Arabidopsis thaliana: one gene and its partners. The protein of the gene in region 1 interacts with the protein of each later gene in a biochemical or structural test. Each region holds a gene or a part of one and is shown on either strand. Other genes may lie near its edges.

What was found.
Region 2: of the proteins of MPK16 (region 1) and AT3G27290, one has a biochemical effect on the other in vitro, tested with the Arabidopsis thaliana proteins (one large-scale study listed by BioGRID).
Region 3: of the proteins of MPK16 (region 1) and AGL76, one has a biochemical effect on the other in vitro, tested with the Arabidopsis thaliana proteins (one large-scale study listed by BioGRID).

The regions. Positions count from the first base shown.
Region 1 is NC_003076.8:6,345,671-6,353,223, forward strand, and holds the start of MPK16 (mitogen-activated protein kinase 16), read right to left. Parts: upstream 2,598-7,553; 5' UTR 2,007-2,597; coding exon 1,983-2,006; intron 1,827-1,982; coding exon 1,418-1,826; intron 1,330-1,417; coding exon 1,202-1,329; intron 1,110-1,201; coding exon 1,050-1,109; intron 908-1,049; coding exon 758-907; intron 689-757; coding exon 533-688; intron 450-532; coding exon 238-449; intron 154-237; coding exon 49-153; intron 1-48. Other genes in the region: MEF18 (mitochondrial editing factor 18), read right to left, coding at 7,101-7,553.
Region 2 is NC_003074.8:10,077,749-10,085,301, forward strand, and holds AT3G27290 (RNI-like superfamily protein), read right to left. Parts: upstream 3,786-7,553; 5' UTR 3,518-3,785; coding exon 2,852-3,517; intron 2,773-2,851; coding exon 2,290-2,772; 3' UTR 1,714-2,289; downstream 1-1,713. Other genes in the region: PHB4 (prohibitin 4), read left to right, coding at 1-303; G6PD5 (glucose-6-phosphate dehydrogenase 5), read right to left, coding at 5,570-5,737, 5,883-5,928, 6,012-6,127, 6,241-6,311, 6,388-6,483, 6,611-6,758, 6,884-6,955, 7,107-7,143 and 3 more.
Region 3 is NC_003076.8:16,047,698-16,054,887, reverse strand, and holds AGL76 (AGAMOUS-like 76), read right to left. Parts: upstream 3,010-7,190; coding exon 1,852-3,009; downstream 1-1,851.

The DNA of each region.
Region 1 (7,553 bases):
TTCGAAAGAATCCCAAATGATCAAATTTTTAAAGGACGTAAAGCATACCTTGGTAATGATGCATGCTGTTGCCTCTCAGGGGGATTATGAGAAGTACCATTCTTGTAGTGTTCCTCGAGGTAAGCAAATTGTTTCTTGAAATGTTCCACCGCACTGCAGAATGAATAATACATTAACCATAAGAACATGGATAATACACAGGAGTATAGTATGAAGCAGGTCAGCTCAGGCCGGTACCTCGGGTACATAAAGTTAGTTGGCTCTGATCCATCCAAGTATTCTTTCAGCATCTTTGGGTGGTACTCCAGAGACTCTCTGTATATGAGCTCTCGGACGTCTTCTTTTGTGATCCTCCGCCTTTCAAACTCAAATTCCAACTTTGTGACAGGTTGAGCAGAAGGCTCTCTTTCAACCTTAGCTAAACCCTTGAAGTACACATCTGCAAGCGCCTGAGGTAACACATAAAACCATTTAGTTAGCTATAACCAAAGTTACATCATAAGGAGTGTAAAGAACGAAATGTATGAACCACCTCTTCAGCTGTAGGCCGGTCCTTGGGTTCAAAAGACAACATCTTTTCTAGAAGACGAAGAGCAAGAGGATCAGTATGTGGGAACTTATGTGAAAAAGGAATAGGCTTCTTCTTCCTCATGCTGCTCAAGTATCTTCGAGCTTTCTCGTTCCTAACCTGTTTCAGTGTAAGAAATTCAGCCAAAAAAAGAAACAATGCTTAAGCATTGTGGAAAGGAACACATACCCTTCCAATGGCTTCAGCAGATGGAGTTCCCAGCATATCCGTCATCAGATCCAATTGATGGACCACATTTTTCCCGGGGAAAAGAGGTTTCCCTGTTAAGAGTTCTGCAAAAATGCACCCGATGCTCCATATATCTATTGCCGGTGTATACTGAACAGAAGCATAGATAAAGAAAAAAAATGTTACCATAAAATTTTATAATCTGAATGAGAGAGCTATAGTGTCTACTGACTAGATTCCCTATGAAAATTTGAAACATTCGATGAAAGTATATATACAAAATCATGGTCACCTTTGAGAAAAAAGATCCACATAGTTCTGGAGCCCTGTACCATCGAGTAGCTACATAATCCTGCGATCAGAAAGCAGTAGGAATAAAAAATTGGTTTCATACCAAAAAGAGTAAACTTGTAAAGAGTAAGCATTTAAATTACTACTACTCACAGTCCAGAATATCGCAGTCGGTGTATCATTGAATGCGACTCTTGCAAGTCCAAAATCACAGATCTTGAGTTTGCAATCAGCATTTGCCAATATGTTTTTGGGTTTAAGATCCCGATGAAAGACATTAGCTGAAAGGAAGAGAAAAAAAAAGTATTTTCAGAAAGATAATCATAAACTTATACTAATCAATGAAATTTTATTGCTCGCTAGCTTAACCTGTGTGTATATACTTGAGGCCACGAAGAAGCTGATAGAGGAAAAACTGATAATGCTCAGGAGTCAAATCATCATTTGCCTTAATAACCTGATGCAAATCAGATTCCATAAGCTCGAAAACCACGTAAATGTCTCGAAACTCTCTTCTTGAAGGCGGCAACAAGATGTGTTTGATCTCAACAATGTCAGGATGGCGTAAGAGTCTAAGAAGTTTGATCTCACGAAGAATGCGAGTTGCATCCGAAACATGCTCAAAGATATCATTGATTTTCTTAATCGCAACTTTCTCTCCGGTATGTGTATCGTAAGCAGAACAGACAACTCCATAACTTCCTTTACCAATCACTTCCTCTATTCTGTATCTGCTTCCTTCACCATATTCCGTGAAGAAATCTACCTCAACTGATGACTGAATATACAGAAAAATCTATTGTCAATATCAAAAGCTTCAATACAGAGAAAGATTAGGACTAAACTAAAAGGCAGTAACAGTAAAAAGGATTGCTACAGATCCTAATCAGTTCTAATAAGCAAATCTGATACATAAGAGATTGAAAAATTGGACCTTTTTGCGGTGATCAGGCTGCATCTTCAGCTACAGGGCATTCAAAGGACGCTTACGAAGACCAAATGTAATAGCTTCTGAAACCCAAACTTAGTGAGCTTTTGAATCAAAAAAATGCAAAGACTGAGAATTTTAGTTCCAAAGGCAATGTCAAAAACAGAGAGCTCTATATCCAAATCCCGAAATCCAGAATCGATTGAAACAAATCAGAGTAGTTCCCGAGACCAAAAAAAAGGAGGCAAATTTATGGGGTGAAACAAGGAATAACCTAATCGAGATTTCTTTGCTTTTTGAAGTGAAATCAAAGAGATCAAAAGAAGGAAGCGATGGGTAATTTGAGAATCACTGAGATTGAAGAAAGACGAGGTTTTTATCTTCTTCGATCAATCTCTCTGCTTGAAATGGCTAAAAGGAAAAAGGAGAGAGTTTTTGAAAGTCGAGAGAAGCTTTTATGGTTCAGAAACCCAAAAATGATTCTTTTGAGCTAATAAAATTTCTTTACAGGATCTGAAATCTCACGAAGCAGACGAAGAGGCAAGTTTATTTGCTCACTTTTGTAGAAGAAAGTGTAGAGAGGAGAGATCTATGAGATGAAGAACAGAACAGAACAAATTATTAAAATATTATTATTATTCGTTTCTTTTATTGTGATAATTGAAAAAAGCGGATAAGTGGAGTCTGATTATCGTTGTACGAAAACTCCAATTTGCCCCCCAAGGTTTATGGGTACTTGCGACTTTTGTCTTAAATCTAGCTTTTGGATAATGTCCAAACGTCGAATATAATACAGTGTGGATATTTTTGTATAAACTATTTTAATATATGCTCTTCTTAATGAATAGATATCCGATTTATTATGGATTAGTGATGACTTATAATTATTACAATAATAAATAGTTCGTTTACTTTATAATTTTCTTTCGTGTCATAGTCGTTGTTAAAGACATATAAATGAAGTGGATTATCCTATATTTCGAATCCGATTGAAATGAGTGGTTTAAATTTTTTTTCGTATGCAGTTAATGAGTAATCTTACTTATTTTTAAGATATAGAATTTGACCGATAAGACATACTTAATTATCTAGAGACAATATTTATGAGTTATGTACAATGGTACAAGAAACTTACAAAAACTTATATATGCAATCGTCAATCTAGTATTTTATTTGAAATATGTATTTCGTATCTAATATCTTCTGTCTTTGGTGGGTTCTTTGAAATTGCTTCATAACTGTAGGTGCTTGCATGCGTAAACTTTTGCATGGTTGGAAAAATTGCATTTGCATCGATTTCAAACGTATAAATAAAGCGAAGCTTTAAATCTTCAAGTAGATGTCACTACAAGAAAACACGCCAGTTGCGAGGGAAGAAACCGTCGCTAGTCTCTCGCAAAAAGCATTTAGCGAGGGAATTGCGACGAACTCCAGTTCCTCGCAAAACGCGCGTCGTAAAATCAAATTCGTAGCAAGTTCCTCGCAAATGTTGCGAGGAACAAGTTGCCTCGCAAAACACACGCAATTTGCAAGGGAAGCAATCCGTAGCAAATTCACAGCAAATTTCGGGTCTCGCAAGTTTCTCGCTAGTTGCGACGGACGACCAGACTCGCGAAGCACACGCAATTTGCGAGGGACGTACTCGGTAGCATATTAGCTGCAACAGTAGCCTCGCTCTTTCCTCGCAAGTTGCGAGGGAATACTTCAGTAGCAAAGTAGTCGCAAATTCTTTGTCCCGCTAATGCCTCGCAAAATTTGCGATGGATTTGCGTGGCTTTTATCTGTAGTCGCAAATCCGTAGTAAAGTTTGCGATGGATTCGCGGTAAATAAGCGACTCTTTTCTGTTTTGTTTTAAGCATGATTACTGTTGAATATAGGGATTACTGTTCTACTTAACAATATTTAATGGTTATCTTAATTGGATTTTTATACTAAACTTTGAAGTTGAATACTAATTAAGAAACCTTAAACTCATATTTAAAAGCTGAAATTTTAGGTTTCAAGTACAGAAAAAGAAACTGAATACAGAATGTTAGAAGGCCAAATAATTTTACATAACAAACCAACAAAAGATTCAAGTTTTGATGAGTGAAAAAGAAACTTAATACAGAATGTTAGAAAGCCTCAGATGGAGATGACCCAGTGTTTGGGTTAGCTACAACAGCCTCAGGTTCGACAGCTTCAGGTCCGATCCCAGCAGTTGTGGCATTAGGCGCATCAGGTGGATTGGAGCTGACTGGTTCAGTTCTTGAAGAGGATCTGACTCGAAACAAGGCAGCAAACTCTGGATCCTTCTTGGCAAGGTAATCAAAGTATGCGTCAAAACTGGTGATCTTCTCAGCCTGGTTTGCAATGAGGGCTTCAACAGCAGCCAGCTTCTGGGAAAGCACAACCGGATCATCTCGAGGAAGCACCGGTCCGGCATGCGCCGAAGACGCCTCATGCTGCAATGAACCAGCCCCATAAATCCTGCCTTTCTTCTTAGGAGCAACCTGTCACAAACTCATAACCAAAACAAGCAAACATGATCAAAGCAAAGTCGAAACATATAGACATAATGCAAAACTCTTAGGCCGAAAATACAATGATATTATTCAGACCAACAACACAACTGAATCAGGCCAAAAACACAAAGACACAACATATTCCTTAATTAATTCTGTCCATGAATCCATAGAGTTTTCACTTAAGTTATTATCAGCTTTAATAGTCATCATCCTAGATGCCAAAGATAACTTAGAATGTCCTTCTCTACATCCCTCGTAGAGTGGTTGATTTACAGCATCTAACATATCGTAAAAATGTTGAGCATCTAGGTTGGGTTCTTCACTAATATTTTCAGGAAATGAAGCAATAGTTTCATGAAATGCATCTGTAACCATATCATGAAATCTATTTTCCTAGTTATGCCCATAACCAAATTGATCAGGTACTTCCTGACCATAATTCGCATCATTATTAAAATTACTAGGTTGCTCGACACCACAATTTGTATTACTAGTTCCTGCGCTATCTCTACAACCATCTCCATGACGTAACCATACATAGTAGTTTGGCATAAATCCTCTATTATAAAGATGCTTCTTCACTACATTAAATTCCAAATATTTCTCATTGAGACACTTACGACATGAACAGAATATTGTACCGTTCTCACGAACAAATGGTTCGTTTGTCGCTTGATACATGAAACCGCGCAGTCCGTCGTAATACTCTCTCGTCACCTCCCCGGTCGCTTGATCTCTATGATTATACATCCAACTTCGTAATGTGTAAATCTCATGCTCTCCGCCCCAAGACATTCTTATTTTTGTAATAAGTTTTTTTTTAAAAAAAATATTTTTTTTTGTTTGTAAGTAAATGTTGTGATTTGAGTTATGATTTCTTACACATTTCATTGGCTATTTATAGATGTCCCAAAAAAAAATTGCGAGGGATTTGCAAGGCATTTGCGAGGGATTTGCTAGGATTTTGCTTGAAATTTGCGAGGGAATCCCACCTACCAACCAGACTGGTAAGATAATTAAAAACATGTTCACCTAACCCGCCAAGACTCGCTACTCTGTCGCAAAAGTTGCGACAGAATAATCGATCCTCGCAAACTCGTCGCAATTTGCGAGGGATTTTGGTTACTCGTAAATCCCTCGCAATTTTGCGATGAGTTTGCGAGGATTGATGCTTTCCACGTATATTACTCGCAAACGTCTCGCAATTTGCGAGGAATTCTGTTTACCCGTAACTCCCTCGCAATTTTGCGACGAGTTTGCTGGGATTGGTGCGGTCCACGCAGACTTCTCGCAAACGTCTCGCAGATTTGCGAGGGATATATTCGTCGCAAATTTTGCGAGGGATTCGCGAAGTTCTCTTCTTCCCTCGTAATACACTTGCAAATCCGTAGCAAATTGCGAGGGATGTTTTCCACCGCAAATTTCCCTCGCAAATCGCCTATTTTCTTGTAGTGTGTATACTAAGAGAATACTCTTAATCATCGGTATTTTTGTGGATCCATTAACATAGTATTATCATTTTTATTAAGAATCACAACAACAATCTTATCATTCTGCTCTTAACACCCATTTGACCAACAATTCATCATACATGTATTGCATATTTTCTCAAAAAAAAAAAAAAAATTTACAGTTTTTTAAATATTCTGATTTTTATACTTATATTAATAGCAAAATGTTCTCTTTAATTTGTTTCTTACTTGAAAATGTATCATGAGCCTATGACAATTGACAACTAAATATGATTACACAGAAATTATTGTAACGAGATCAAATAATAATTTTACCAAAAGACAGTCTTAGTTATTCGTACTAATTTAAATAATAAATAGAAGCAAAATTATTTGTTCATTTTCTGATAATATGATACTATATTTTTTAAAATAAGATACTATAGCTTTTGAAATGAAATAATTATTAATTAGTTAATAAACAAACCCAAAGGAAACCAAGGGAAGAACGAAGGGTCACGAAGAACCGTGGAAATGCTTCAGTCCATGTGCATCACATGACTTTTATTATTAGGGATCATAAAATACCAAAAACTAATAGTGTGGACTAATAATTATCTTTTCTTTTGTTAACTTCTCTAATGATTGTTCCTTTTCAGCATTAATAAATAGGTAATTCTTTGAATGATTCATAAAGAATGTATTATTTAACACAGTAATGAATCATATTTAAAAGGGGCCAAACTTGAAGATTCTTTATTTTTCTTTTAGCATTTTAAACCCCAAGGCTTGATCAATCTCAAAGACTTTTAAATACATTTGATTACAAATATCTTCAGATCATACTACTAAATCATATAATGACTTACAAAGTGAGACATTAAATAACGATATTTCAAAAGATAATAATATTAAAAAGAAATAATTTGACTTTTCTCAAATGAAAAATTCAAATTATTTATTTTAATATTACTTAAAAATTTGGGTCAAATTATGTATTTCTTATGATTAATTTTCGTTGAGAAAATAAAGATTATAAAAATTCACGCGCTTTCGTTTGGGCAATAAATAGCCAGCTCTGCTTTGGTAGGACCCAATAAAAACACGAACCTAACTCGTTTCTAATAGGCCCATACAATAAGCCCACTACGAGACTAAATACAATTCACACAACACCACTGAAGGCACGTGACCACTCAACATCTCTCGTTCGCATCTCTTCTCTAACCAAAGCTACATCTTCCCATCTCCCTGCGTCTGCATAAACGTTCGAAAGCATAACTTTGCATCCTCCATGAGATGGATCAATCGCTGCTAGCTCAGTAGCCGCAAGTTCGGCGATCTCGACGTTCCCGTGAGTTCGTGAAGCTGATAATAACATCCCCCAGATCATTACATCAGCCTTTACAGGCATCTTCTTGATCATTTCTTTAGCTTCCTCTAATCTCCCAGCTTTCCCCAATAAATCAACCATACATCCATAATGTTTGATGTCTGGCTCGATCCCGTGATCGCTCTTCATGCTTTCGAAATACGTTTTACCTAACTCCACTAGCCCTGCATGGCAGCATGCGCTCAAGACACCGACAAAAGTGATGCTGTTCGGTTTGATGGGGAG
Region 2 (7,553 bases), on another chromosome or scaffold:
TACGGTGCTGAGTTCTCGAGGGCAGTGGAGGCGAAGCAAGTGGCTCAGCAGGAAGCTGAAAGGTCAAAGTTTGTGGTGATGAAGGCTGATCAAGAGAGGAGAGCTGCGGTTATAAGAGCAGAAGGTGAGAGTGAAGCTGCTCAGTTGATATCAGATGCAACAGCTAAAGCAGGAATGGGACTAATTGAGCTTAGGAGGATTGAAGCTTCAAGGGAGGTTGCGGCTACTCTGGCTAGGTCTCCGAACGTGGCTTACTTACCTGGTGGACAAAGCATGCTCTTTAATCTGAACCCTGGTCGTTGAGCTATAACATTGGTATGCTCTTTTACTTCTTTGAATAATGAATGAAAAATGGATTTGGACTTAAGATTCCCATTTAAAGGCATTAAGGTTATTCGGTTTGGTTGAACTAAGAGTGGTTATGGTTTGGTATAAACTGTTTGGTTTGATAGTAGAGTATGGTTTAGGTTTGTGGAATGGTGTGGTTTACTTGTTTGGCCTTGTTGTATTTGCAGGTGGGAAGAGGAGCTTCAGTGGAGACAAAACGACGGAGCTGTGAAGTTTATTAACGTTGATGCTCTTTTATTTCTGATGAACACGATGTGAAAAAAGATAATTGTTTTGAGCCGTTCTATCTTTTCTGACTCTAGAAGTAAAGACTATGCCATTGTTGTCGAAACCCGATCATTCCAATGAAAGGCTTCACCAAAAAATCTACCATAACAATAGTCGAAATTTGTATTGTCAAAAACAATTTCCAACACCAAGGTTGTTGTACTTGTATTATTTAAAATATAAATTAAAACATGGTAAATAAATTAAATAAAACTTTTTTATGTGGTCACTTTGGTGGCTTCGGTACATGCGGTGGCCTCTTGTGGTGGGGTAGACAAACTCTAAGTATAGTGCATTCACAAACTTTAACTTTTCCCTTCAAATTACAATTTGCTCCACCATAACCTTCGTTGTTACAACTCGTTCGGCACCTCCTAGCACCGTCTACCTTATTACACGTCTCTGGCGGTGCTTTGCTTGGATAATCATCACACAATTCCCAATTCATTGCTTTTCCTAATACAATAATTCGATCAATTACAAGTATTTATATCGTATTGATTATATATGCATATTTTTGTTTTTTTTCAATGAAAATATATTTGGTAGAAGATTTAATATTATTTACGATTTTATCTCCTTGTAGTGATTTATTTTACAGCTAAATTACAATTTTGACAAATTTCCTTAATTTTTTTTTTAAATGAGTATAAGAAGTTCCATTTTTTCAATATTTGTATATCTTGTAATTTATAAACCAAAAGTTTAACCGCAAATAACACCTTTTTTTTTTGTTGCATTAAGCATCTATCATTATAAATCAAACTTTTAGACATTTTGTTTTTCCTTTTATAAGTTTTTATTTTTCTTTGTTAATAGAGTGTTTTATGAATAATAAATCTAAGTGTCATATTGCTATATATCAGGAATTATTATTTCTAAAAATAGAAGAAGAAATGAGAGATAATCCGTAAAAAATGCCTATGAAATTGTTTAATGAAAAGAAACATTCATTATTAATTTATATCATAATTCTCTTTTTTCATATAACTTTGATATGTTTCTTTATTAAAAATATGTTATTTAAACGTAATAATTACCTACATGATATTATGCATTATACACTGGATGTACAAACTGCGAATAAGTATTGGAATATGAGAGGTATTATTAAGTAAACTAGGTTTGGATGAAGTGACTAGTGAGGATGGTTGGGAGATCTTGCAATGAAAGTTTGTGATCATGGGCTCATGTTTCCAGGGAATGTACAAGCAGGAGTGGATTGATAAGAGATTGATCCATTTTGAAAATTATACAAGTCATTTAACAAAAGCTACATATGGAGGAGATTAAAAGACTAATTAATGATAATGTAAAATAACTCTGATATATTCTTTATTCTCTTCTCTTTTCTTGTAAGTTCTACTTATTTCCCATTTGAATCCTGGTGCTTCAACTTTCAAGTAAAGCTCTAGTCTTTGCTTCTCTTCATCTCTCATGATCAAGTTTGACTCGAGTCCGTTGCAGAATCAAGTTTAGCTCAGATCTTTCATGATGCTGTAGATGAAGACTAAACACCCTTCTGAGTCTTATCATGTTTCCATTTTTTGTTGCAGCTCTTCTTATTGACTTAGGTTTGATACCTCAAGCACCAAGACTCTTCATTCTTCAGAAAACAGTGTATTGAGGATCAAAGTAATGTGTTAAGCTTCGGTTTTGACTTCAAATAAACTATTATAAGCGGTTAGACCTCTTCTCAATGCATACCACACAGCTGAATGCAAAACAGAACGGCTTGTTTTCACAGTCATTTAAGCAACTCCCACACTCATGGCAACGTTCTATGCAGACAACGCAAGCTCTGCAAGATGACTTAGAATAAGGATATTGACCCTTCAATGGACATGTATCTGCTGGACAATCAAATACCAGACTTGGTTTCTCACACCAGGGGCATATCTCGAGGTCAGTAACTCGATCATCCTCTAAATAGAATTCTGATCTACAAGACGTATAGAATCTCTTCTTCCTCTCTTGTAAACCCACTTTAGCATCTCCTCCTAGCAATAAGTTGAGCTCTTTAAACTGCTCCTTTGTGAAATACAACGCCCCACCAGTGATTAGGCTTTTGACTCCAAGACGGTTTGAAGATTTTAAGTCCCTTAAAGTTGACACTAGTCCTGCTGTGCTTAGTCTAAGACAACCAGATACACTCAGCTGCAAAAAAACAGACACACATGAACAAACAACACAGAATCATATAACAAGATTGGTTCCATCATTCGATCAAACTAACCTTAGTAAGATGTGGATTGCTAGCAAGAACTTGCTTCAAGCCATAATCAGTGATACCAACACATCCTCCAAGATTCAAACATCGAACACCGCCTAGAGCACGGCGTGTTAACTTCAAAAGAGACTCATCAGTAACTCTATATTGAAGAAATGAGTCATTAAGATCAATACTTGTCCAGAAAAAAGGTTCCTTTCCAACCGAATCACGCAAAGACCTACAAACTACTTCAACCGCAAGAATCTCTTTCAACTCTAGATATGGAAGAACCAACTCAAACGCGTCATGAGCTTCACCACCACCACCACCATCATCATCATCATCACCATCATCATCATCATTATTATAAAACCAACTTAGAGTCTCGAACAACATCTGATCAACAACACCAATTTCTTTCTGATTCTCATGAAACCAATCAGAGATTGTGTTCAAAGTCGATCTAACTCTCATACAAAACGGATCCTCAGGCAAAGTATGATCTTCTGAGACTAAACCAATCTGATTCTCATGAAACCAATCTGAGATTGAATTCAAAGTCGATCTAATGTTCATACAAAAAGGATCATCAGGCAAACCCACAAAATCATCCCCAAATTCGCCTAAACCCAATTCTAATTTTCTGTAATCGTTATAAGAACCTCGAAGCCTTTCGTAATTAACCTCCATTAACGAATCTCTCAATGAATTAAGGAAATCGAAATCTGAAACAGATCCAATGAAATAAATATATAAAAAAACGGCGAGAGAATGAATGAATGAATGAATGAATGAGAAGGAACGGGATCGCGTAATCAGCGGGAAAAAGGAAAGAGAAAGGATTCGAGAGGAAGAGGAAGAAGAAGAAGAAGGAATCAGAGAAAGAGTTTCAATTGCAAAGAAGATGACTTTTTTTAGGGCTTTTACTCTGTTGCGATTTTGGCGCGTGTCTAACTATAACTTCTAATTTAATAAGAACAAATAATTAATGAGTTTTTTTTCTTCTTTTTAAATTCTAATTAATGATTACGTCTCTAAATTAGATATTTTCATTCACTCTTTTTTTTTTCTTTATAAGTCAGATCTTCTAATTTATAATCTTTTCAAATTTGCAGGATCTTCTATTTTTTTGGGTTATTAGTTTTATTCCTTGTCCATAATCCTATTGATTAACTATTGTATTAAGTAATTTGCCATTTTGTGAACAAAAATTAAGAAGTTATTTACTTATTATAGATTTTGCACTTTTTAATAAAGGAATTTTTGTTAAAGGGCAAGATTTGATAATTTAATTAAGTGAATGACTTCTTGATTGTTGTTAAATAATTATACTTTTATTTTAAATATTTATGAATATACTTTTATTTTAAAATTTGGTATTTTCGTGAGTAAATAAATTAACTAGAACCAATGGAAGCAGCTTATTAAATGATGTTTAACTTTGTACCCTTAAATTAACTAGAACCCTTAAACAGTTAAACATCACTAGATTTTGACCCGCGGTATACCGCGGGGCTAGGTTTTTAATAAAATTTGTTATATAAAATGTATATGTAAATATTTGTTTTATTAATATTGTTTGCTTTGTTTAGTGTTTAAGATAATGTATATATAGATTTTAGTTGTTATATCTAGGATTTCATCCGTAGTATATCGTTTCGTATTATTATCGATCAAAACTCGTCATACCATCTAATCCTGCATATTGAAATTAAACATATCTAATAGATTTCACTTGTGGTATACCGTCTCGTAATACTATCGACCAAACCCTTCCTACCACAAACCCCGTTCAGTAAAATTAGACATTATTTTGTTATTTTTGTTTTAATAATACTTTAGTTTAAAAAATATTTAATTCAAATCAATTTAAAAGTTTTTTTTCAAATGGTTATTTAATTATTATAAAGTTTATATATTATAATATTATAAACACGTCCTACCATCTAGTCCTACTATCTAATCATGTTCGGTGAAATTATTTTTTTATTTTTTTTAATAATATTTTTATTAAAAAATTTATAATTTAAATCAATTTAAAGTTTTCTTTCAAATGGTTATTTAATTTTTAAATATTTTAACTATTTTGACAAAAATAATTAGGCCATGAAATAAAAGCATATTCTTTTGAATAAGATTTGCTTTGATTTGGTAGTTAATTTTTGCATTTAATAAGTCAGTGGCAGCCATTGTAAATAAGTTCTAATTGCAGGATTTATTTCACAAAATGGCTGCAAAAATGTATATATAGATTTGCGGTCAAAAAAGTTAAACATCATTTAAAATGAAAGAGAATGAAACAGTCGTAATGTGTTTTAATTTTTTTTTTTTTTTTTTTTCGTCGTGTTTTAATTTATTTTAGTAAGTATTATTGCCAATTTCTTAATTAAAATTCTATCTAGTTCAATTTCTCTTTTAATAACAAGAGCAGTTATTCTGTGTGTATACGTCGAATTCATGAGATTCAATCCTCTATTAAGCAGAATAAGATCTCTTAATTTAATTAGCTTTTCCACAAAGCTGTTTTGCATTATGTAAAAAAAGAAAACAAGGGACTAGTACAACAAAAACTACAAGGCATAAACAAACAATGTCCTAGTGAAGATCACTAGTATACATAAGATTCACTTAAACAAACTCCAAACTGGTGAAGAGTTTTTATTCAGCAAGCAAGGAAAAAAAAGAAAAAAAACCCTCTTATTTTGTGTGTACTCATCATCATCATCTCTATGATTATACCATTTACAATGTAGGAGGGATCCAAATGTAGCCATGAGTCTGCATATAACCAGCTTTCTTAAGTAGCTGATCTGCTTCCGCTGGGCCACGGCTACCTTGTTTGTATGGGACCGATTTCACTTCTCCCTTGTCGATCCTGTGAAGCAGTGGAGTGAAGATTTCCCAAGCTGCCTGTTTTGTGATTGATCACATACATATATGTGTTTAAAGATCTTCTCAATATATGGTAAAAATCAGATTGTGGAAGTTTCAAACAAAGTTGAGTGATGTGAAGTATCCAGGGGTTCTAAGTGGTGAAGTAGAAAGGTAAAATTACCTTTAATTCGTCTCTGCGAACAAAGTGTTGTTGGTCGCCTCTGATTCTGCAGAGAGATACACAATAAGGGTCAACTAATGAGATGAATGAAGGTTTTGATATACAGAACTATTGTTACTAGATTCTTACGTGTCAAGAATAAGGCGTTCGTAAGCCTCTGGAATTGAGACATCTTGGTAACGCTGCTTGTACGATAGGTCTAGTTCACTCTGCACGGTTTGCATCTCCAGACCCGGTTGCTTCACCTGCGCAGCAAAGCCAAAAACTTCAGATTGAATGAATAAATGAATGAACAAAAGTGAGTCTCTCCTTTTTTCTTATAGTATCGTAGATTATGGTTGGTTCATCAGGTACTTACAGTTAGCTTCATGTACATGGCCTCTGAAGGCTGCAAGCGTATAACAAACTCGTTCCTCCCTTGGTTTTGACCTGTTGCATTGCATGAGAGGTTAGACCAACCAAATTTCAAGTATTTGGGAAGGTTTGATTTGGTCTCGATACAAACATTTGAATATGTCGCCAGGAACATCTTTAAACTGAATGCGAATATCTGCCTTCTTTGAACTCATTGCCTTTCCGGCCTTCAGTATAAAAGGAACACCTGAGAGATACATCAATACACAAGTTACTAACCACTACAACTAAAAAGGGATTTTGGCACATGATGTTCCAAACTTGATCTAGAAAATGAAAAGATGAAGAGTGAAGGGGACACATGCACACAGTACCTTCCCATCTTTCATTGTTAATGCGAAGAATTGTTGTGGCAAACGTTGGAGTGTTTGAGTCATTTGGAACAGTTGGATCATCTCTATATCCTTCATATTGTCCAAGAACCACCTCTTCATCTTTTATGGGAATCACAGATTGAAGAACCTGAAGTTCATTTAAGAAATCAGTCAGTTGTTATTAATATTAATTGGCTGAAAATGCAAATGAAGATATCACTTGATTCTACAAAAGTTTGAAACTAAAGATGTGATCAAGAAAACTGTAATCACCTTCACTTTCTCATCCCGGATGTGCTCGGGTTTAAGAGAGATTGGTTTCTCCATGGCGACAAGGCAAAGAACCTGTGGTACACTAAACTTAGTTAATACATAAAAGTATCTGCAGTTACAAGCAAGGAAAAACAAGGAAAAATGTCATATGGAGGTGGCTTTCAACAAGGAAATTTCATGTTTTTCTTCACAACAGACAAATATTTCAAATGTAAACACTTGCCTGGAGCAAGTGGTTTTGAATAATATCACGAATGATTCTGAAAAATAGAAGATTATATATACAAGTCATCAGAATGCAATGATACTTCTGTCTCATGTATATCATATTCAAATGAAACACTGAGAAAAGCTTACCCGTATTCATCAAAATATCCACCGCGACCTTCAGTTCCAAAATCTTCTCTGAAAACGATCTGCAAAAAGAAATTAGAGATTTATGTGGATGGATTCAACTCTATACAAAAGTTTAGAAATATTTGTGCTAAGCGATCAAACTCTCACCTGTACGTTTGCAATATTGTCGCGGTTCCATAGTGGCAAAAACAAGCGATTGGCAAACCGAAGAACCAACTGCACTAACGATGAATGCGTTAGATTATATCTTTATTTGTCTAAATTAATAAACTAATGACTAGAAGCAAATATGTGTTACCATGTTTTGAACTAA
Region 3 (7,190 bases), 9.7 Mb from region 1:
CTTTAAAAACGTTTATTTTATATGCAACCTTACTCATTTTTCTTTGTTAGATTTTCGCTATGCATACATGGACCATGGTTGATTGTTGCATGTATGTATACTATACTAACGAATGTAATTTTGATGATCTCATCTTGGGCCGAAGCCAATGCAACTATTTTTGTGTTGAAATTCCATTGAATCTTAAAGCCTATAAATACTTTTTAAGTCGTGTCTAGCTCACAATCAAAAAGCAAAGTCTCACTTAGAAACCAGATTCTAAAAATATTTTGTAAATGTTTGTCCATCTCAATATCAAAAACATTATCTCCAAAACGAAATGTGAAAATAATGTCAAATGTTTTACGATATAATCTTTAATTCATAGATATTTCCTAATCTAAAAATGCATAGTAATTTGGTAAACGCGTTTTGTTTTCAATCTTTAATTCATAGATATTTCATATTTAGCAAAAACAACGAATGTATTATGCGTAGTGACTAGTGAGAAATCAGAAATATATAAAATTAGCTTTTAGTTATGTTATCTATGGATGATTAATGAAAAGTTTTGGTCTATTAGCTGAGTATAGGTTAACAACAACAATCATATGATACATAGAGCTACTTCTTACCTCTCTCATTGCAATACATAAACAATAAGCCTTGTCCAAATTCGGCAGCTTTATCATCATATTGTGTACACCATAACAAGGATCAGAGGTTGGGTTGATACAAAAATGCTCTTAAAAGTAACCATAGCTCGGAAGCAAAGATCACTTGCAAGTGCAAAATGGTGCACCATATAAAATCCACAGTAACTACATCTACGGTGGCCACGTCTCAAACTACATGAAGCTGTTGGGGGAATATGAGCCAGAGAAGTTACAAACTCTCTTCAGTGCTTACATTAAGAAAGGAGTTGAAGCTGAGAGCATCGAGGAGATGTACAAGAAGGTTCACGCAGCTATCCGAGCAGAACCCAACCATAAGAAAACCGAGAAACCAGCTACCAAGGAACACAAGAGGTAAAACAAATAATCATTACTGGCTTTAATCTTCTTGTTGTGATTGGTGTGTCTCACTTGGTTCTTGATTGATTGTGATATCAAACAAAACAGGTACGACTTGAAGAAACTGACGTACGAAGAGAGGAAGAACAAGTTGATCGAGAGAGTTAAGGCATTGAACGGAGCATCTGGTGACTGGTGATGACATGAAGATGCAGAGTAAATCACCTTTCCAGCTTGTTTGTCTCACGCCTTTACTTATGTGTGTTTCAGACTAAAACAGTCAGTTTTTGTTTTCAAATTTTAGTTGCGTTGGAAGATTTTAAATTCGAGGATATTTTTTGTTTGAAGAATTTATTATTGTTCTCTTATTACACCATCATAATTTTCAGAGATGAGAGTGAACATTAGTGATGGAGATAGTATACAAGTTACACACTAGTCAAAAATGATTTACTTGCCCTACTTTGTGATACAATTCTAATTGGATGTTACTAATAGGCAAGCTTCTCTTACTTTACTACATGTTTCATCACCACAATTGTTTGATTGCTTTGCTTGTTTCTGCTACTTGCTACTGTATTGCTTGTTGTTTTGAGTTTCGTCGATGTGCCTCAATTTAACATGTTAGTTAAAGATTGCTCGAGTTTTTATATCATATATATGTAATAACTAAACCGAAAATACAAGTTGTAACTTTAAAACTCAGAACGAAATCTCTACAGATTAACAAGCGTACTCAAAAATAAAAATTAACAAGTGAATCAAGACTCAAGAAAACAGCTTCACTATCTCTGTTCCGCTACTTCACCATTGATCATAGCCATAGAGTTCATGCTGCATCAACTGATTCAACCAGGGGTTATTCACAGATTCTTGTTCTGTGTTTGAGACGCTGTTGAAAGCTGTTGTTAATGATGTTGCCCATAGACATGTTTTGATCACACCCATAAAGTTCATGCTGCATCAACCCAAAATTAGTCACAGATTCTTGAACCGCTTCTTTGTTTGAGACTTGAAAATTGTTGTTGGTAAAGCACATGTTCTGCTCATAACCACAAAGCTCCTGCTGCATTAACTCAGATTGTCGTTGGTTATTGACAGATCCTTCTACCGCCGAGTAATGTTGTGCCTTTGAGACGCAAGGATGTTGAAAGCTGTTGCTATTGATGTTACCCATACACATGTTTTGATCACAACCATATAACTCCTTCAGCATCAACTGATTCATCCCAAAGTAGTTCACAGATTCTTGTACCGCTTCTTTCTTTGAGAAGTAAGGAAGTTGAAAATTGTTGTTGGTGATGTCACCCATCCTCATGTTCTGATTCTGATCATAACCATCCTGCTTCATTAACTGATTCTTCAACTCAGATTGTTCAAGTAACGCTGAGAAATAATTCTGATTGAAATTTGATGCAGAGACTGAGATCTGAGACAGAGTATTGTCTCCATGGTTATACATAAACAGCGAAAACTGTCTAGGGTTCAAAGATTGGGTCTGATGATTCAAAGAGGATGGTGTTAAACTCTGATGATCCGGTTTTGTCTGTTTCTGCGACTCAAGAAATCGAAGCCTTTCTTGGAATTTAGAGACATGGAGTTTTAAGGACTGAGTCAGTTGAGAAACTTGGTCGGGAGGGTAATGATCAGCGAGTGGATACTTTAAAACATTCACGTTCTTCTTAAGACAAGTCTTCCTCTTATTGTTCGGATTCTTCAAACCCTTCTTCTTCTTCTTCTTCTTCTTGTTCAGGAACCCATGAAGATTAACGCTTTTCTTGCTTCTCAAGGCTTCGTTTAATTGACTATACCTCAGAGCAATGTCTCTCACTTTCTCTTTCTCCTTAGGCCATGTCTTAAGTTCTCCGTCTGGTCCGTAATAGATGACGCACGCTTCGATATCACAGAGAGTGCAAAGCTCTGAAGCTTTCTTGAATATAGTCTCAAGTCTGTTACTCAAACTTGTGGAAGCGAGTGAATAAGAAGAAGAGGAAAAAGGTAATGATCGCATAGTCATCTTCTTGTTGGTTTCGAAGACAAACTCTCTGTTTTTTTCACGTTCAAAGTTAAGAGAAAGCACGAAGGCGAAGAAGAATAAAATTGAGAGAGTGAAACTAATGTATTAGGTTTGGAGAGTAAAATCATATATTTATAGATGTAGAAGTAAAGATTTGGTTTTCATAACCACTCACGCTCATCGGTAAGAAAAGGAAATACGAGTATAGATTTGATTTCCGTATTTTATAGATTTAATAAAAAGAAATTTTCACTGGATGAAAAAAGAATTGCTCTCATGGTTTGTCAAAGTGAGATATGGTTTTTACCGTTTGTCTTTTCAGTTGTTTTCAGACTAAAATACCCTTAATGGGAGCAACCAAATCACACAGCACTTGATTTCGGTTTAGTTTTTCTGGTTTTGTTTTGAAACTTAATGGTTTACCCTTAATGGTTTTGTGATTTTGGTTTATCCTTAATGGTTCAGTTTTGAAAAAAACAAAAAAAAAACACTGAAACAAAGAAACAAAGAAGAAGAAAAAGAGAAAGAGACGGAGTAATTCGAGAGAGAAGTAGAAAGAAGTTCAAAATTCATTATCCACTCCTTCATATTTCGACATCTCTCCATTGAACTCCAAAATTGAGGAACAAATTTCTTGTTTTCAGAGATGAACAAAATGCAAAAAAAAAGCTCCTAGATACAAACACTTTAGCTTTTTAAACTAAAGATACTCTAAGTTTACAAGATTTATTTATAAATAGTAATCAAAACGTAAAAAAATGAGATTTTGAGAAAACTGATAAAGACGGCCGCAAAATTAGGTTTGCAGAAAAGGATACACAGGTTGAAGATGACTGGAAAATTACAATTATACCCTTCATCGAATTTTTTCTGTGTACGTACACGAAATTATTTATGGAACATATATGAGACGATTTCTAATAATTCAAACTATTTTATTACGTATTCTTATATCTCAATAATCTCAATACATACATAATAATTAAATAAAAATAGATGGTGAAATAATGTACGTACATTTTTGTTGGTAAATTAATGTATGTACATGTGTAATAATATACGTACATCTTTGTTTGTGAATGAAATTATTAAGAAAAATTTATTAATACAATATTAAACCAATATTGGCAGTGGCTGAGATAAGACATTGTTTGTTGTATGATTTTTCTGTTCTTAAAAACACTTCCCAATCTATAGTGTAGGTACATTGGTACAAACCATGTTGACACATACTTCTTCGAGTCACAACTGGTGTACGGTCACCCGAGTGAGAAATGTTATCTCCGCCAGGTACACGCTGACTTGTGTACGTACACTCTGCCAACAGACGACTGAATTCCCCTGGTGTGAGAATGACGTTCTCGTCAACATTCCCTATTCCATATTCTTCTACAATTACATCGTTCCACTTGTTGTAATCATAATCTTCGCCACTACTTTCACTACCATCAATAGTAGGATCGAGGGTACTTCCCCCTATAGATCCATCGTCACCCTGATAATCATCATACCCACCACCATCTTTGTTGTCCCCCTCCTCTTCATCCTCATTTGTTTTATCGTCTTCATCGTCGTCTTTCTCATCTACGGCCTCATTATTTTCATCAACATTTGAAACACTATCACATACACGGTCACTTTCAGCATCATCACCATGAGTCCTAGAGACATTATTATCGGGTGTCTTGACGGTTGTAATGAAAGAGACAAACAAATTGAGAGAAGGATACCGACCACGAATTAAAAAGAACGTATCCAACCCCACTTGACTGTCAATGTAGACAGGAGGGCGTTTAGTATCTATCAGCACTAACATCTCTCCCGGCATCCAGTAACTAATTATGGGATTGATCTCTATGGATTTCAAACTGAAAGCCTCGCTTAGTGTACGTACAAATTCTGTGTACGTCCTGTTTTCCTTAACACGTACACAGCGACCAAACATGTCTTCCTTTGGTTCAAATTTCCATTTTTCTTATTTGCATCTCCACTCACCGACCATAGTAAATACGGGAATATCCATTACCCAACTGCATCATAAATTCAGGAGAAACCCATTAAATGCAACTGAAAACATGATTGTACACACTTATAAACATATATATTTACACATTTAGCATTTTCAACCAACAAAATTGGAAATAAAATTTTTTTGGGTTTTTCTATAAAAAAACAAAGTTGATTTCGAATACAATGAAGATCATAGCGTGTTATAACAAAAAAAATCTTTAAAACTTCATTACTTACACGATAATGCTTATCTTGGCTCCAAACTTCGTAAATAAACAAGATCAACACTTCTTGAGCATCAATGTACGTTCGCAATTAATGTTTGTTCCTGGGTTCATCTTTAACTCAACAATTATTATCAATAATTTTATAATATAATAACATGTAATGATGATTTTGCATTAATTATAACAAGAGTCACGTCTAAACTTTTTGGGCCATTAAATGTTGATGTCATTTCGTTTATAATGAAAAAATCTCCCTTCTAACTGTAAAGCGCGCTCCTCAACGTGAAACAAAAATATCTCTAACTAAACCGGAACAGTGTACCTAACTAAACCTGACTAACTAAACCATACATTCAACAATTTCTCATCTGTAGCAGCAAGGGCAAAATGGTCAAATTTCAGTTGAAAAGACAAAACGTGAAAACCACCTTTCACTTTTGCAATCCCTGAAAATAAAACATGGTCAAAGGGTGTGCCCTGCAAATTACCCTTTAATAAAATCCATTGATATCAATCGAGATTACAAAGTTATTATACAAAACTATAAAAAAAACATGTAAACAATATCCCATTAGGATTGGTTCGTTTGAGTTTTAATTAATTTCGAATGACAAAAAAAACTATAAAAAAAACAAATTATTACATAAGCATATATTTGTGTCCTACTGTATGATGAGAACGATATACAAAAGAAGAGAATTTGACGATACTTTCCGTAGATAAGCCTTATTCGCTAACAGATTAGTGAATCTATTTTTTTTCTTCTCTATATTTGATGCCATATAATGAGAAAAATACACAAAAGAAGAGAATTGGGTGAACGACCTGTGTCCCCCTCGGAAGTTTCATATAGCATTAGAACTACACAGAATTCCAACCTCGATCTTGGTCCACACAAATAGAAAGTTCTAATCCTATTTCTCCCTAAATTGAAAGTTCGAAACCTCAAAACACATAAACGTTTTTTTAATTGGTTTATAACGACCTGTGTGTTTGAGGTTTCTAACTTTCAAATTAGGGGAAATAGGACTAGAACTTTCCATTTATGTGGACCAAGATTGAGGTTGAAATTCGGTGTAGGTCTAGTGTTATATGAAACTTCCGAAGGGCACACAGGTCGTTCACCCAAGAGAATTTGACGATGTTTTTCGTAGATAAAACTTATTCGCTAACAGATTAGTAAATCCATTATTTTCCTTCTCTATGTTTGATCTCCCTCTAATGCGAATTGTGAAATTTATATAACTAGATTTGTATGATATGTTATTGAACTTTTGACAAATAATGAATAACGAAACAATCACTCTAGTAACACCAAATTTAGTTAAAATTATATTTGCAAATTAAAGTAATAATAGCAACAATTAACAAACGTATTACCAACTAATTTACCCTAGCATAAATTTCTATTGGTTGCTGTCAAAAAATTTAAAATATATATAGTGGTTAGGAAGACATATAATCTCTGGTTTACACGAAATTAGGATTTGGTTCGAATTCGGTTTTTGGGTTTAACGAGAGAGTAAACCAGATTCCGCCGGAGGTGCAAATTTAAATTTTAAAACCAAAATCCGAATTCGAACCAAATCCCAAAGTGTAAACCAGATTATAATCGCCAGAGTTTCCAAAAGTCTCTCCGTTTTATCGGAGTCTCAGAATCGGATTCCCGGCGATGATGGTGGAATTGGATCATTTAAGGTTCGTTGGGTTTTATTTTGGCTGTGTCCTTAAGAGAACAAATGGGTTGCTATTAGAAGGTTTCTATGAATTGGGTCAAGATCAGAGACGAGTTTGATTCATATTTTAGCAAAAGTGAATGTTTTATGCGTAGTCAGAAAAAAAAAATAGAGAAGATTGGCTTTTAGTTATGTTACCTATGGATGATGATTGAAGTTTGACTCTATTAGCTGAGTATAGATTAACAACAACAATCAGATACTCTAC